Nothobranchius furzeri: one gene and its partner. The protein of the gene in region 1 interacts with the protein of each later gene in a pairwise test. Links are inferred from orthologs where the notes say so. Each region holds a gene or a part of one and is shown on either strand. Other genes may lie near its edges.

The links.
Region 2: the proteins of rbbp8 (region 1) and lmo4b interact in binary tests that used the Homo sapiens proteins (3 or more experiments, as listed by UniProt). The link is inferred for Nothobranchius furzeri from reciprocal best matches to the Homo sapiens genes RBBP8 and LMO4.

What each region holds. Positions count from the first base shown.
Region 1 is NC_091747.1:41,222,310-41,229,064, reverse strand, and holds the end of rbbp8 (DNA endonuclease RBBP8), read left to right. Parts: intron 1-655; coding exon 656-747; intron 748-914; coding exon 915-987; intron 988-1,861; coding exon 1,862-2,043; intron 2,044-2,151; coding exon 2,152-2,247; intron 2,248-2,428; coding exon 2,429-2,499; intron 2,500-2,583; coding exon 2,584-2,651; intron 2,652-2,734; coding exon 2,735-2,984; intron 2,985-3,057; coding exon 3,058-3,217; intron 3,218-3,304; coding exon 3,305-3,393; intron 3,394-3,474; coding exon 3,475-3,592; intron 3,593-3,687; coding exon 3,688-3,822; intron 3,823-3,907; coding exon 3,908-3,932; intron 3,933-3,999; coding exon 4,000-4,087; intron 4,088-4,161; coding exon 4,162-4,303; intron 4,304-4,371; coding exon 4,372-4,469; 3' UTR 4,470-4,582; downstream 4,583-6,755. Other genes in the region: UDP-N-acetylglucosamine transporter TMEM241 homolog, read right to left, coding at 5,238-5,301, 5,416-5,480, 5,559-5,652, 5,778-5,847, 5,917-5,951, 6,197-6,232, 6,490-6,535, 6,607-6,655 and 1 more. UniProt on the Homo sapiens protein: Endonuclease that cooperates with the MRE11-RAD50-NBN (MRN) complex in DNA-end resection, the first step of double-strand break (DSB) repair through the homologous recombination (HR) pathway.
Region 2 is NC_091756.1:59,557,901-59,565,989, reverse strand, and holds the start of lmo4b (LIM domain transcription factor LMO4b), read left to right. Parts: upstream 1-3,171; 5' UTR 3,172-3,400; intron 3,401-4,516; 5' UTR 4,517-4,521; coding exon 4,522-4,757; intron 4,758-8,089. UniProt on the Homo sapiens protein: Transcription cofactor. Plays a role in establishing motor neuron identity, in concert with MNX1, acting, at least in part, to disrupt LDB1-LHX3 complexes thereby negatively modulating interneuron genes in motor neurons.

The DNA.
Region 1 (6,755 bases):
TGGATTTGTCTCAAGTGAATCATTTACAAACCAAGCAAACTAGAAAAATAAGAATTTTCCAGAAATGTGTGGCAGAGGTATTGTAGAGATTACCAGCTTCAATCTGGCCTCTCTCCAGGATCTGTGGGTCTCCAGGGACTTGAGGCACACTAGAGATTCACCTTGACTCCTCATACCCTGAAAATAACCTTTTCATGTGCTGCCCTGTAATCACAGACAACAGTCCACCAGAACCATTACCTCATGGCACAAGATCAGTTTCTTCCCATCAGCTATTGGACTATGGGCTGCATGGCGGCGCAGTGGTTAGCACTGTTGCCTCGCAGCACGAAGGTCGCAGGTTCGAAACTCGGCTGCGGCCTTTCTGCGTGGAGTTGCGTGTTCTCCCCATGCATGCGTGGGTTTCCTCCGCGTACTCCAGTTTCCCCCACAGATCACAACATGCCCTGTAGGTTATAAATTGTAAGTCGCTTTGGATAAAAGCGTCTGCTAAATAAATAAACATAAACATATTTGAACATTCCCTAGAAAATCCCAGAACCTGCTGATTTGTAATCTTCTGTTATAGCGTCCAGTTATAATCATGCATCTTTGTGTACTTTATTATAAGTAACTGTGTGTGTATCATTAGTGTTTTGGCGTTTACTGTCCCCAGACTCCGAGCAGCAGAGCGTGATCAGTGTGCTGTTTTTGAGGAGAAGCTGAAATCCAACCAGGAGCAGAACCTTCATATTGTCACAAAACTAAGTGAGTTTGTTCCGGTGATTAATCTGAGCTCTAGATTATTTGGTGTTAAAGAGTAAAGAGTTGTTTTTATGTGAGTGTTTCACACAGACCAGGGCAGCACAAGCTAAGATGTTTTTGGGCACAATCATGCTTTGTGAGAATTGTGTTTACGGTTTGTCTTCCTTCAGAAAATGAGAGAAACAGACTGGAGGAAGAAAACAGAAAGCTGTTGAATGAACTGCAACAGTTAAAATCAGCTCAGTAAGTTCTTCTTAAAAGTCTGATTAGATTTTTGGGTTGTTGTTGTTTCAAAATTATTACAAATGTTAACATTTTAGTTTCTTTTTTTTTTTTTTGCAGCCAGTGTTGCGTAAAACTTTTCAGATAGACACTGTTTCTCCTGGAGAGGTTTCACTTCTGGTTTACAAAAATGAACTCTTCTAAATTTGAAAGCTGACTATAATAAGTGCCGTGTTCCACTGAGGAGCTTTGCCTCAGAGACTTGTTCTGCATCAGCAGTGACGTTTCAGTTCCTGGTTTAGCTCTGTAGAGGGTGTGGAGAGCAAACAAGTATATAAATAATTCAGTTTGTATTTTAGTTAACTCCAATTACAAAAATAATGTAATAAAAACATAACACTATTAAAATTGTTTTGTCACATTTTACTCAAAGGTCTTAAAAGGTTAGAGCAACATAAGATGGCAGAATGAGGGCAAAACACACCTGCAGCACATGAGTCTTCATAAGCCTCGCGTATGCCTCTCTGGTGAGAGGTTATGTTTTTCTACACGGTTCTATTCCAGGCTCGGCTGTTCCATTTTATATTCACATACTCCTTGTTTGGGCCTCCAGGCTTGTTTATACTAGTGCTGCCTGTTTTTTTATGTGGCTGATTGTTCAGGTAGATTAAGTTTAATTAGCTGGTGTGTCCGTGGGTTTTATTCTAGAGCAGACGTAAGGCTGTGGTGATGAGCATTAAAGCAGTTCAGAGGAAATGTTTTTTGTCTCATAATTTATCCCTTCATCAGTTTGAATGACCAGTAAGCTGCTGCACTTTAGTGTTTCCCAACTCAGTCGGTAACGATTTCAGATTCCACCAAAATAATTGTGATGATGATTATTTTCCTAATCAAGCAGCCCTACTTCAGAGGTAGGAAGCCCGGAGCAGGAGGAAGGATTCATCCCAGACTCACCAGTCCTGCCAAGCTCACTTCCTGTCCCAAACAAGCTGAAGAAACGGAAACATGGTGATAAAGTGAAACACTTCCGATATGCAGAGATGTCTCCGCGGCAGCGCGACAACTTGCTCTTCTACGGTCAGTTATTTAAAAACACCTTTTATCACCTGCTGCTTATTTTAAACCTCACCTCACCTTCCTCTGTGTATTTCCGCTGTTGTGAACGGTTTGGTTTTTATTTTTAAGAGCAAAACAAAAAAGCTGCTAGAGATGGAAGGAATCCCAGGAAAACAGAAGTGCTGGTGCCCAACACTTGTGAACTGGATGCACCCCAGACATCCAGTAAGATGTCTTTTCTAATACAAGTTAATCAAAACAAGAATAATCTTTTTTTTTTTTTTACATTTAATATAACTTTATTTATATTCCTTTAGATCAGAAACAATCTATTTATGTCCACTTCTCCTGGTTTAGTTCTATTATCAGACAGAAGTTGACCTGTCTGGTGTCTGTCTCTTTCCAGATGATGTGAATGAAGGTGTGCTGGAAGCTATCCCAGATACCTGTGGCTTTGAACTTGCTAACAATCTCATTGTAAGTAAAATAGTTTAGGAACCAATCACTGATACATAATCGTACAATAATGACATTTTTATGTTTAAAACATTTTGCTCCCAGGTAAAGGAGACGGCTCCAGATCATCAACGTGCCTCTAGAAGTTCCTGGAAGCACAATGCTCATTTAAAGTAAGACCAACTGCAGCCGGCCTGCATTTATCTGACTATGCGCTAAAAAACTCCTCCCTGCTGGTTTGTTTCTCCTGTTTAAGGCCCTACGAGCGCTCCTCTGTGTCCACACTGACCCACAGTCCAGACTCCACCACGGAGAGGTCCCTGTCTGTCCTCCCTCCTGTCAAACGCTTTTTAGAAGAAGGCTCGGTCTGCAGCTCAAAACACAAAAAGGACGAAAGTGTTTCACAGAGACTCTGCGAAGCAGGAATCCAGGGAGGGGGCAAACATGAGCATCCCAGAGACGTCAACCAAACAGCGACTTCTGTTTGTGAGCCACCAGTTAATAAGGCATGACCAAACAGGGAGCTCATCTGTTAAGCCATGATTTAAAGCAGGTTTTTATAAGTGTTTTATTTTCCAGGGCCAGTCAGCAGAACACATTGGGACCAGTCAGAAAGCTAGAGCTCCTGGTTTCAGTTCTGATTTCAAGAAGCCGCCGAGTAAATCTAAGTCAGAAACCGATGGGAAGAAAAAAACGCCTCTGCAGGATCAGGATGCTTCACACAAACAACCAAAAGATGGTGAAATCCTATCATTTACGGTCCTTATCTCATCCTGTTGGATTTCAAACTCTTCACTCCTTAAACTCGACTTGTCTGGGTTCTCAGTCGACGAGCAGCTCACAGTGGAGCCGGCGTGGAGCATCGATCCTGCACTGGCTCTGTCCGTGTACAACAGCGAGCAGAGGAGAGACGAGGTGCAGCCTCTGGGTCGTTTGGCTTTTTTTATGTGTAGATGTTTGGGTTGTTTTATTGGCTTAAAAGCTTTTGTGTTTTAGGAAATAGAAGAACAGCGGCATCACAGAGACCTGGCAGACACGGACTGCACTTGGGTCAGCCACAGCATGCTGCAGCGGCGAGGAGGAGACGGTCCGAGCAGAGGAGACACGAAGTCTGGTGAAAATAACCGTCAAGTCTTTAAATAACCACAGTCAGGTGTTGGATTATAATCCGTTAACACAAGATGGTGGTCTGGTCTGTTCGCTTCTCAGGACTCGGCCAGAAGGCAAACGACAGTTTGGATATGATGTTTGACACAACAGCTTATGGGGAGTATAAGTCCCAGTTAGACCGGAGCAGGCCTGATGAAGAGGATGAAGGGCAAGATGAAGAGGAGGAACCGCATGGTAGAGATTGATTTTGAACACCTACATTATTTCACTGATATTCTGAGTTTGACCTTCATCTCCTGATTGGTTTCCTTTCATTTAGACGAAGATCCTCGATCCAGATCTGGGTAAGGACCATCACTCTGCACCTCGTTTATCCGATCGTCACCCGTCTCACGGTTTTCTCTGCTTTAGACGGCCAACATTTAAACACGTGGCAGTAATCCGCAAGAAGGACGAGAGAAGAAAACTGAAGGGCACCACCTGTAAAGAATGTGACGTTGTGAGTGTGTAGAGCCTGAAGCCGGTGCGTGTTTATTCCTGGGTGCTGTTGACACGGTTGTGGCTTCCTTTTAGTACTACGCTCATCTGCCAGAGGAGGAGAAACAGAAAAAGCTGTCTGCCTGCTCCAGACACCGATATCTGCACATTCCTCCGTGTACTCCTGAAAACTTCTGGGAAGTGGGATTTCCATCGACACAGACGTGTGTGGAGCGAGGTAATGGAACGCTTCTTGTTTCGTCTAATGGTGGTTTTACTAGAGCTTTATAATATTCTGTGTTACAGGTTACATCAAGGAAGAGACGAACCCCCAGGCTCGTTCACGGAGACGACAACCGTTTAATGTTTTATTCTCTCCAAAGCAACGGCAGCAGCAGACCTGAAACATCCCTCACCGATTAGTTCTAATTATTCCCTTAAATCTCTATAAAACCCTGAACTCTTGCAGAGTTCAAACATTGACACTGTCTAATAAAAATAACTTATAAAAACCTGATGCTGACCAAGAACCTGTCTTCATCATCTCCTAGGTTTTATATACAGGGTATCCGCGGGTCCTTAAAAAGTCTTAAACTTGCTTTTCCAAATTTAAGGCCTTAAAAATCCTTAAAAATGACAAATAATCCTTAAATAGTTTCCGAAGGTCTAAAATTACCCAAGACCCAATAAACAAGATTCTTTTATTTCTATAAAAATTTCGTGAATTTCTAGTTAGTGTTCAGCATTTTTGTGCACGATGTTGGCGTAAGCGGAACCGTACACATTCAGTTGGCTGGGAAAGGGGGCTCTTTTTAGATGAGCACATTAGCTGATTAAGCTAGCGGGAACTTGCGCCATGGGGAATTGCAAGTTTAATGGTAGCTGGATGGCTAATCCCACGTTCGTGACGTGGTTGGCACCGGTTCCAGGCAATAGCTGGAAATTATAGCTTAAATGTAATTTTAAAAAATTGCTTAAATTTGGTCAAAGTGGCCTTAAAAAGTCTTAAATTTGGCTCCCTTAAACCGGCAGATACCCTGTATATAAAAATAAATCAGTGTTCACACGGTTTTATTTAATCATCAGATTTATCAAAAGATAGGAAATTAGAGAAAAAAAGGTAGAAAAATATCTTGTTTACATAAAAGTTTAGAACATGTTGAGATTTGTTATCAAAGTTGAGGATCTCTGTCAGAATAAATCAGCAGGGCCTCTCCGAGGTGACTGATGATCACGCTGGGGAAAACGGAGCAAACGTTAAAGATTAGTAAGCAGCAGCCTGATGTCCGAGAATCAAAATAAAAATTTAATTTTCACTCAATAGATCTCATAATCAGGTCAAGCACTCACCATAAAAGAGTTTTGGTGTTGATATTCGTGTTGAACATAAAAGGTGAGAGCGCCATGGCGGAAACCTGAGAGAAAGCAGAAGTAACCATCACTCATGTTCCCTCAGAGCAAAAGTCCTGACAGGTGTTTTTATTTATTTATACCTTCGACAGAAAGCCCCAGACTCTGACGTGTTCCAGGGACAGTCCATGTTTTAGTCTGACTGTGACCAACAGCAGCAAAAAACCCAAAACAGCACTGTGGAGAAAGAAGCTCTACTTTTAAAACCTGAATATATTTACAAAAGAGTTTCCTTGTCTATCAAAACCAAATAACAGCAGCGGGTTCTTTATAATCGGTAGAGAAAGCTGATGACGTCTCACCTGATGCAGCAGCCGCTTTGGAAAGTGAAGGAGTTAAGAGAAGTAAACTCCCAGGCACCTGTGAGGTCACCTGTAGAGCAGAAATATTGAGCTGAATCGCATCTTTTAAAGCTGAAACATGAGCTCAGGTGAGTCGTACCTGTGGGGTGAGCAGCGAGACCCAGCAGCAGCACACTGTCATTAAAAACCAACAACTGCGGTCATTCAGTTAGAATTTAAACTCAATTCATGAACAAACAATACTTTATAATCATTAAAGTATTCGGGTTTATTACGATTTACTCTAAAATGATGTTTATACAAGATAAAAAGCAGAAGTAGAAGAAAAATCTTTCCTCACAAACGATTCTGCACCTGAAACTTCATTAAATCTATTTATGGCCAACGTTTCTCATTTAAGAGACCTTGTGGATTCTTACCTGAGCAGGTAGTTAATGCACTGCTGTTCAATATCACTGAAAGTAAATCACACATAAATATTTCAGCGTGTGGGGGTGTCGTACTGTACAATCCCACCGCATAGAGCTGAGTAATCCTAAAATAAAACAAGCAATAGCCTCGTAGCCATCTGAAGATTTACTTTGTGATTCAGGTCAATGGAACAAAGAGGTTTTTCATGATTTTTGTAAAAAAACAAAAAAAAAAAACAGTTTTCATTTTAATAGTTTGTTTGATCTGTAGTAACACAAAAGTGAGACTTAGAATGACTAACCTCAGATTACTGGCCTTGTGCTGAACGTGAAACACCCTGTATGCACCTGAGCACATAGCAGATCATTCATCAGCAGGCCCTTGAAACCAGCCTCTAACAGCAGCACCTTAGACTTACCGACACAGAAAAGATGGCAAAAGGCCCACAGGTAGGCACTGTAGTCAAACTGTAAATAAAACATATAAAATAAGACGATCCGACACATAATCCACCTTCGAAGGACGGGGAATCGTTACCTGAGGGTCAAACAGGGGAAGGTTGATGGC
Region 2 (8,089 bases), on another chromosome or scaffold:
AGCAGAATAACTCTATCCATATTAGATGCCAAGTTTGCTTCTATGGGAGCCCGTGAGGACAAAAGACATTTACTGATTTGTAACAAACAATTACAAACCTTTTTCCATTCATAAACGTTGTTGTTGTTTTACACATGTACCTCTTCACTCGTCGCCAGTGATGAAAGGGAGTCTGATGTGCTTGTTACGTTGCTGGAGGTTGAACTCCCAGGGATTTTTGATCCTAATGGCTATCCGTTGGTAAGATCTTACTCAAACGCAAAAATACCTCTTGCTTGCTATGATTTAGGTATGTACTGCCCCTATCAAAGCAAAGTACACGCCGATACTTTACATTTAGTCAAGGTCAGAGGTTGTAATTCGACATAATAAAAGAGATAGGGCATCATTGGACAACCATAACTTGTACAATGTTTGCCAAAAAACCCCATCATGATGATCCCAAGACTTCTGAGTAAATATCCTGTGGTCTGAAGCTTGGTTTATGCTTGACGCGTTCACTTTCCACGCGGTGATGCGGCTCGCGGATGGAACGCGCTTCATAACTCGCAGTGTTTATGGTTCATGCGGCTCGTCTCTGCGGTGAACCAATATTCTCCCAAACTGTAGGGGGCAGCATGGAGCTCTACGGCAAACATCCAACACTACACCATAGTAGAAGTAGAAATTACTGTTTACAACACGGCATTTCAGCATTTTTAACAGCGTCCTCGTCTTTTCCGACAGTGCGAGCTATTTCTCTCCAAGAATTATTAACAACATGTTGATCACGGTGATCTCTGAGAGCTGAATCATACAAATGTCTGTATTTATGAACCTCTGCCATACTAGTTCTTGCCGGTCCGCCATGTTTTTCCGCGTCCGTCCGTCCGCGTGGTTAGAAATTTTCTGAGGTGCGCGTTGTGGAAATTCTGGGCCGTGCGGAGGCGCGGTGGAGGGGCGTGGTTGTTAAAATGATGCAACTTTTCCGCGCGGAGACGTGCGGACCTCGCGGACGCGTCAAGCATAAACCAACCTTTACCAGAAAAATCCAGCACTGTGTTTGAGTCAAACTGTGGCAGCAGTGTCTTGAGTGAGGTAGACAAGGTCATCCAGTTTTTGGAGGGGTTGCTGGTCCAGTCCCAGGACATTCCTAGTCATTCTACCATTGTTTCCTTGGGAAAGGCACTTCATCCAACTTGCTGACTCATTTTTGTGTAAGTCACTTGAAAGTGTCCACCAAATGCATAAACACTTACAAACATGGTGGTGGTGTTTATGTTTATGTATTTAGCAGACGCTTTTGTCCAAAGCGACTTACAAGTGATAATCGGCATGTTGCCCTTGAGGCAAACAACAACAATAACAACAACAACTTGACATCAGTCATGGAGAGGAGGGAACAAGGAGTGGACAGTAGAGAGCGGGGACGGGTGCAGGGAGGGTGCTAGTTTAGAAGACGCTCTCTAAAGAGAAGGGTCTTCAGGAGTTTCTTGAAAATTGAAAAGAAAGCCGCTGTTCTGGTAGTGCTTGGTAGGTCATTCCATGTTTGTGGAATGATGCATGGGAAGAGCCTGGATTGTCCTGACCGTGGTGTAGGCACTGCTGGCCGACAATCTTGTGATGACCGGAGCGGCCGGGCTGGGACGTAAGCCTTTGCAAGAGGATTCAGGTAGATGGGAGCCGTACCATGAAAACTGTGAGATAAAGTCAACATAAAAGAGGGCCAGATTCAAACATGTTCAGGAAACGCCAAGTGGAGGAGGTGGGTTTTTAGGCGACTCTTGAAGACTGGCAGAGATGGGGACAGCCTAACTGAGGGTGGCAACTGGTTCCATAGTGACGGTGCTAGGACTGAGAAAGCCCGGTCCCCGCGAGTACGACACCTAGAACGAGGGACAGCGAGCAGGCCTTGGTCAGAGGAGCGCAGAGCGCGTGATGGGGAATGTCTGTTCAGGAGCGTGGCCAGATAGGGGGGAGCACCACCCTGGAAGAAATTAAAAACAAAGACGAGGAGTCTGAAGTGTGAACGATAGCAAACCGGAAGCCAGTGCAGGGAGGCCAGAACCGGAATGATGTGGTCCCGTTTCCTGGTCCCAGTCAGGAACCTGGCTGCGCTGTTCTGCACAACCTGAAGGCGACACAGTGATGACTGACACAACCCTGCATAGAGAGAGCTGCAGTAATCATTGCCTCAAGAGTGCTGCAACCAGCCTGAAGGAGACGGGTTCAATCAGGGTCAGGTCAGTTAGCTCATCACCCCTTAATCTTTGAAAATATCATTTGAAAACTGGCGTTTACTGGGGTTATCTTTTATATGAAAAACATAAGCAACATTTTTCCACAGCACTGTATTATGCCAGAGAGGGCGAGATGAGCAAATATTGCAATAATTACAGCACTTCAGCCAAAAGAGACTCAGTAGGAGCTGAAACCAATGACCTTAACGTTGTAAAAGGAGCTGCTATTATCTTCAGTGACAGATGATGGCGCCACTACGCAGCTGTAGAGGTTGGAGTCACCCTCAACTAAGTAGTTATTGAATGCCAACTAATTAAACTCTGACGTGAGGTGAATGCAGCCTGCTGGATGTTGCCATGCAGCATGGAGCACGTTTGGAAACGATCGAACACCATGACGACTTGTGTATAACTTTGCATCTAGTCCATAGGTTACCTCAGCACTCGCGTTTCCCCATTTACCATTTAGGTTTACGTAAACTCATATTTATAATGCAGTTATTAAATACACCATCGCCTCTAATCCCAGAAACGTGGTTCTGGATATCTCGGATTTAAGTGTCAATGAGCTGCTTTTATCCCCGTTTTTCCTCTTGTCCCTCTCACCTCCGTTGTCTGCGTGTCCAAGTCTATCTCCCTTCCCTCCGATTGGCTGGAACTGTTATTCTCCCAAATTGACTGCATTCTGATTGGCTGCCAGGGCTCTGTCGTCACGCAGCAGGAGAGAGTTTTTACTGGAGGTTTCTTTCTGTCAGCGACACATGTAGAACCAGCTGCCAACGGGACGCGGACGCACGCAGAGATTCAGACCAGAGCAGAAAGAGACCTCTTCAGCCTCGACGTCTCCTGAACGCTTTATCTTTTTGTTTCAGCCAAAACACGCACGTGCTCTTCACGTCTTTGGGGGAACATTACGGCATGCGTGTCACCTCGCCATGAATCCCGTCGTCTTTAAAGTGGTGCCAGTAAAAGGGAAGCCTACCCGTGGAAATACTATCTGATAACTCCATTTGCTCGCCTCGCCGGGTCCTCGAGGTGCTCTCGCGCAGAGCTGGAGTCTGGAGCGCGCGCGCGCTGGTTGGTGCGTCCGCTTTGAAGCCGTTTTACTTTTCTGGCTCTGTTGAACCCTCCCTACCTGTTCATCGTCAAACTTCGGTGGCATCGTCGACCAGGGGAACGAGGTGAGTGTTTGTTGGCGTTACAGCCTAATTAAACAGGAAACTAATCGGTTTATGTTGCGTTCTTTCGCAGCGCGTGCGTTCACATCCAGTATTCACTTCATTAGCACATTTCCACGCATTTATCCCAAAAATAATAACGCCAAGAAAGTGTTTTCCCCTGCTTTCAGTGCACGAATGGGTGTTTTTCTTTTCTTTGCCCCGCTCACTCATCTCTCCCTCTTTCTCTCGCTGTCTCTCTCCCTTCTTTTTCCATGACTTGCCCAAATTGCCTGTTCGTGTAATTACTTGAGTTGGCCCATTTAGTTTAAAAGCCACCCCCCCTCTCATTCCTCCTCCCCCTCTCATCCTTCCCCAGCGAATAAAACAGAAACTCCCCCCCTCCTCACCCCTAGAGAAACTTGACGATAGCCCGCTCTGTTTATCCAGAGAGTCACTTTCACGTCGGCTTTTTTGATTCATCTCCTTTTAGATTTAATCAGCACTAAAGTACGCTGTGGTTTGTCCCTAAGAGCCATCGCTAATGGGCTTACTGAATGCCCCCCCCCCCCCCCCCATCCCTCTTCCCAACTCTAATTGGCCTACCTGGCTTTCAACAAAGATTTGGCTTCATCCCTGCAAGTCCGTCTGACCAAATTGGTGGGGATTACATCTGAATGACTTGAAATTAATTTAGTGGCTGAAACAGAATGCATAAGATTAGTAGATTGACGTCATTACAGGAGGTCTGTGGGCATCAGTTTGTAGTCTGACATGTTTTATGCCTTGGAAGTTGTCAAGTGTTGAGAACCAAACTGCAATTCCTATCTCACTACAGCCATTCATGCTGGGATTGAGACGATAAATATATGCTGAAGTCTTAATTATGGGTGTTATCAGTTGAACAGACACTGGGAAGCCCATTAATGCAACAGAACAGGACAGTAACGGACATCTAGACCAGTTTCACTCAATAATTAGTCACAAAACTAGGTATTAGTTGGTATAATTCAAAATCCGTAGCTGTGAATACATGTTGATAGTTTTTGTCTGAAATCAAAACAATCCTCCACTAGTAAATGCACGAGCACCGGCCATGTGGGTGAGTCAGGCTTGACCGTGTCTTTTCTGTGTTTTTAGAGACAATGGTGAATCCTGGAGGCAACAGCCAGCCACCAGCGGTGGGCACAGGCTCCCTGTCTTGGAAACGGTGTGCGGGTTGCGGGGGCAAAATTGCAGATCGCTTCCTCCTCTACACCATGGACAGCTACTGGCACAGCCGATGCCTCAAGTGTTCCTGCTGCCAGGCCCAGCTGGGCGACATTGGTACTTCGTGCTACACAAAAAGTGGCATGATCCTGTGCAGAAATGACTACATCAGGTGAGAGGATCGCTGAAAGCCATGTGTTTATGTAGAAGTAGCACGGGCGTAATGTTATGTTTTGATTCATTTTTCATTTAGTTATTATATTTTTATGTAACCAAAACATCCCGACTATTTTACAATATAAAAACAGCCCTGAAAGAAAAATATCTGAATGTAAAATTTATGTCAAAGAACATTCTGAACAGAATTTTGTGGGATTTTGCTGCGCCCTATCCACAGCATTACGATCTCTGAGTGTTCGTAAAGCATTAATATGATCAAATCCTTCATGATCTGGTGTCGTCCTATCAGCTGCTCCAACGCTAACGTGATTAGTGGCATTCTGCTTCAGATCTCTAGGTTAGATTTGGGCTAATTAATCAACACTCGTGTGCATAAGTAGCCTACTAACGAACAGGAAACCGTAGATGGTTTTGGAAGTCTCCCAAGTTCTCCTAGATGTTGTTGAATCAAAGTTTAAGCTACGCAGCTATGTTCTTTTTTGTCAGATGGTGAAAGAAGGATGAAAAAAAGTTATTTCTATTTAAAAAACAACTATTGTATTTCTGCATTGGCTGGAGGAAAACCATGCTGCTTGACCTTTACTCCAGGTGCCACAAAGCGTCATGCATGGTGAGATGTTGTCAAAGCAGAAAGTTTTTCAGCAGATTACCGATTACACAAGAATGAAAGACGAGGTTTAGAATTTGCTCAGCACTTTTAGCGATGACGTTTTGATCTTTCTTCACTTTAAAGAAGCTTGAAGAGGCAATCGGAGTCATAAAGTTTCGGAGTGTGCCGAACAACAAAACACTGTTTTAGAGAAGATGCTTCCGTTTACTGCATCGATTCTAGTTTTAAAGGCTGATGTTGAGTTTAGATACGTTTACAGCCGTTCTCAGATGACTACAGCAACAATATACCAGTAAAAATAATAATCTGATTAACGTGAGAAATCATGACTCTGAAAGTAAACGCTGCTCAGGGAAAATGTCGGATTTTTCTTGGCGGTGATGGAAACCATCTGTTTTTTTTGATTTTCAGATCTGTGAGTCGTACTGAATCATGGACGTAATTTTCACTTTAGAAGTGGGGGGGGGGGGGGGGGTATCTTTACAATATGTTCTAATGGGAAACCGGCTTCAACACAAACGGTTGCTTTCCGCTTGGTCCTAGAGCTCAACCAGTGTCAATTTAATATAGCGTAATATTGTTTTTGGATGGTAAAAAGTGCAGGGGTCAAAACTTGACTTTGGAAAAAGTGGGGGGGACATGTCCCCCCTGTCCCCCCCCCAAAATTATGTCCATGTACTGAATTATAGCCACTTCTGAAAGCTGGGTGGTTTTGTTGTACATCTCTAACTGAAACAACCTTTATATTTTAAGCTCTTTATTTACTAGACTAAACATTGAATTGTCCATTAAAGTTTCTAAGTTGAAGTTAAATCTTCATTGATGGTTCAGATGGTGGACCCACTCTTCTGAAACTACTGTCAAATCTGCACAGATGGTTTAAAATCAAAAGTGTGTCTGCACTCGTACCTCATAAAAAGCAGGGGGAAGTCAATGGGGTACTTCATTCATAATGGCACTATAACGTAATTAAAATTGAAATGGGGTGGGGTGGAAAGGGGGGGGGTGGGATACACCTTTCCACTTGTAATGAGAGCATGCCTGTTGGAGGAGCTAAAACACATTATGGAACCGTGCGATCTCTGTGGAGATAAAATCAGAAGTAAGGGGAGAGAAAAGAAAAACACCTGACAGTGAGTCTACACAATTAAATGCTTTAATTATAGCCCCCCTCCTTTTCCTTTAGTCCTGATGGGTTTTATCTAATGAGATCTGGTCCCTGGCTTGTATCCGCTACCAGTGACGTGTCCGAAATGAATAAGCGCCACACTGCAAACAAAACATTTAATTAACCAAATTGGCTTTTGAGAGAGCAGGAGAGAAAGACCGATATAGACGAGGGATTATTGTGAAGGCCATTTGCCGCTGTTTTTTTTTCTCTTTTCCTCCTTGATCTTAAAGGGCCAGATTCCCCATCAACAGGCAGTAGTGGAACTGTTTTGAGCTGCAGCTCTGGTTTTATATTAATGCTGTTAACGTGAAAATGCTCATCTGCTTGATCGGGGATTGCAGCCGGGCCTGGAATAACGCACTCCTCCCAGAGCCGAGCTGTCAGAAGCTTTAACTTCAAACCCAAGTTGAGCTCGCCGCAGCTGGGGCTTGTGTTGTTTTAAGCCAGAGGTGATATTATTTTCGTGGGCTGCTGGTGAAAGGAGAATTAATTTACTCATGGCTGCCGGATGCAGAGAGAATGCCATCCCCTTAATTGAATAAGCCAAGGTAATTAAATAGCACTTTTCCAATAAAACGTGCGAGGTAAATCTAATAGTTGGTTATTTAATATCACTTTGAAGTCTGCCCACTCGAGCACTGTGACAGCACCAGAGAACGTGAACTATTAGGCCAGAAAAAAAAAGGATCTCAGAAATTAATTAAATCGCATGCAATTTAGAGGAAACGTTTATCTTGATTTGTCATATCAGAATTAATTCAAGGCCTTCAATTCACTTGGGGCCAGATCTGTTACTCTGAATTAACCAAGTGTAATTTGGCTGATCTCCCCCCTCCCAACACCACAACCATCCTCCACACACACACACCACCACACCTTCTCCTACTTACACACACCTCCCCATCCCCCTCCTTGCTCCCAAAACACACGCACATACACAACACAGATCCACGTCAGCCCTCTCATCCTCCCAATCCCCCGCCTCACCCCATCCCTTCCACCCTCTCCTCTAATGCTGCTCTTGCCATTATGCAAAGCCCCGCTTCAGTATCAATATGGCCTAGTGCTTTTAAGGTGCTTTGGCTGCTGATGTAGAGAGGCATTTTTAATGGACTGTGTTGCAGAAATCATTGTTGTGGGGGTAATTTTACTCTACTCAAAGGTCTCAGTGAATGAGGTCTGCATTTACCAGACAGCCCAGCAGCAAGCCATGCTATATTTCTCCCAGCAGTCAGTGCTGAAATGAAATCCAATTGTCATTGCCTGTATAGTCAACAGACAGCTCTGATTGTTTTCTTTTGCTGTTGTTTATTTTTTTATTATTAATTTAAATCATCCGATTAAGGAGAACCGATTAAACCGTCCTACACAAATGTTGTCAGTTTATTTGTTAGCTTTTATTCATTTTTAGTGGACAGATTCAGAACCCAGATGTCTCGTTATAATTAAGAGTCCCGTGGCCTTAACTGCACTGACCCGTGGTGTTGGCGTCACCTCAGCGCTGTAGTTCACCGACAGAAGAGGCCATTACGGCCCAAGTTCA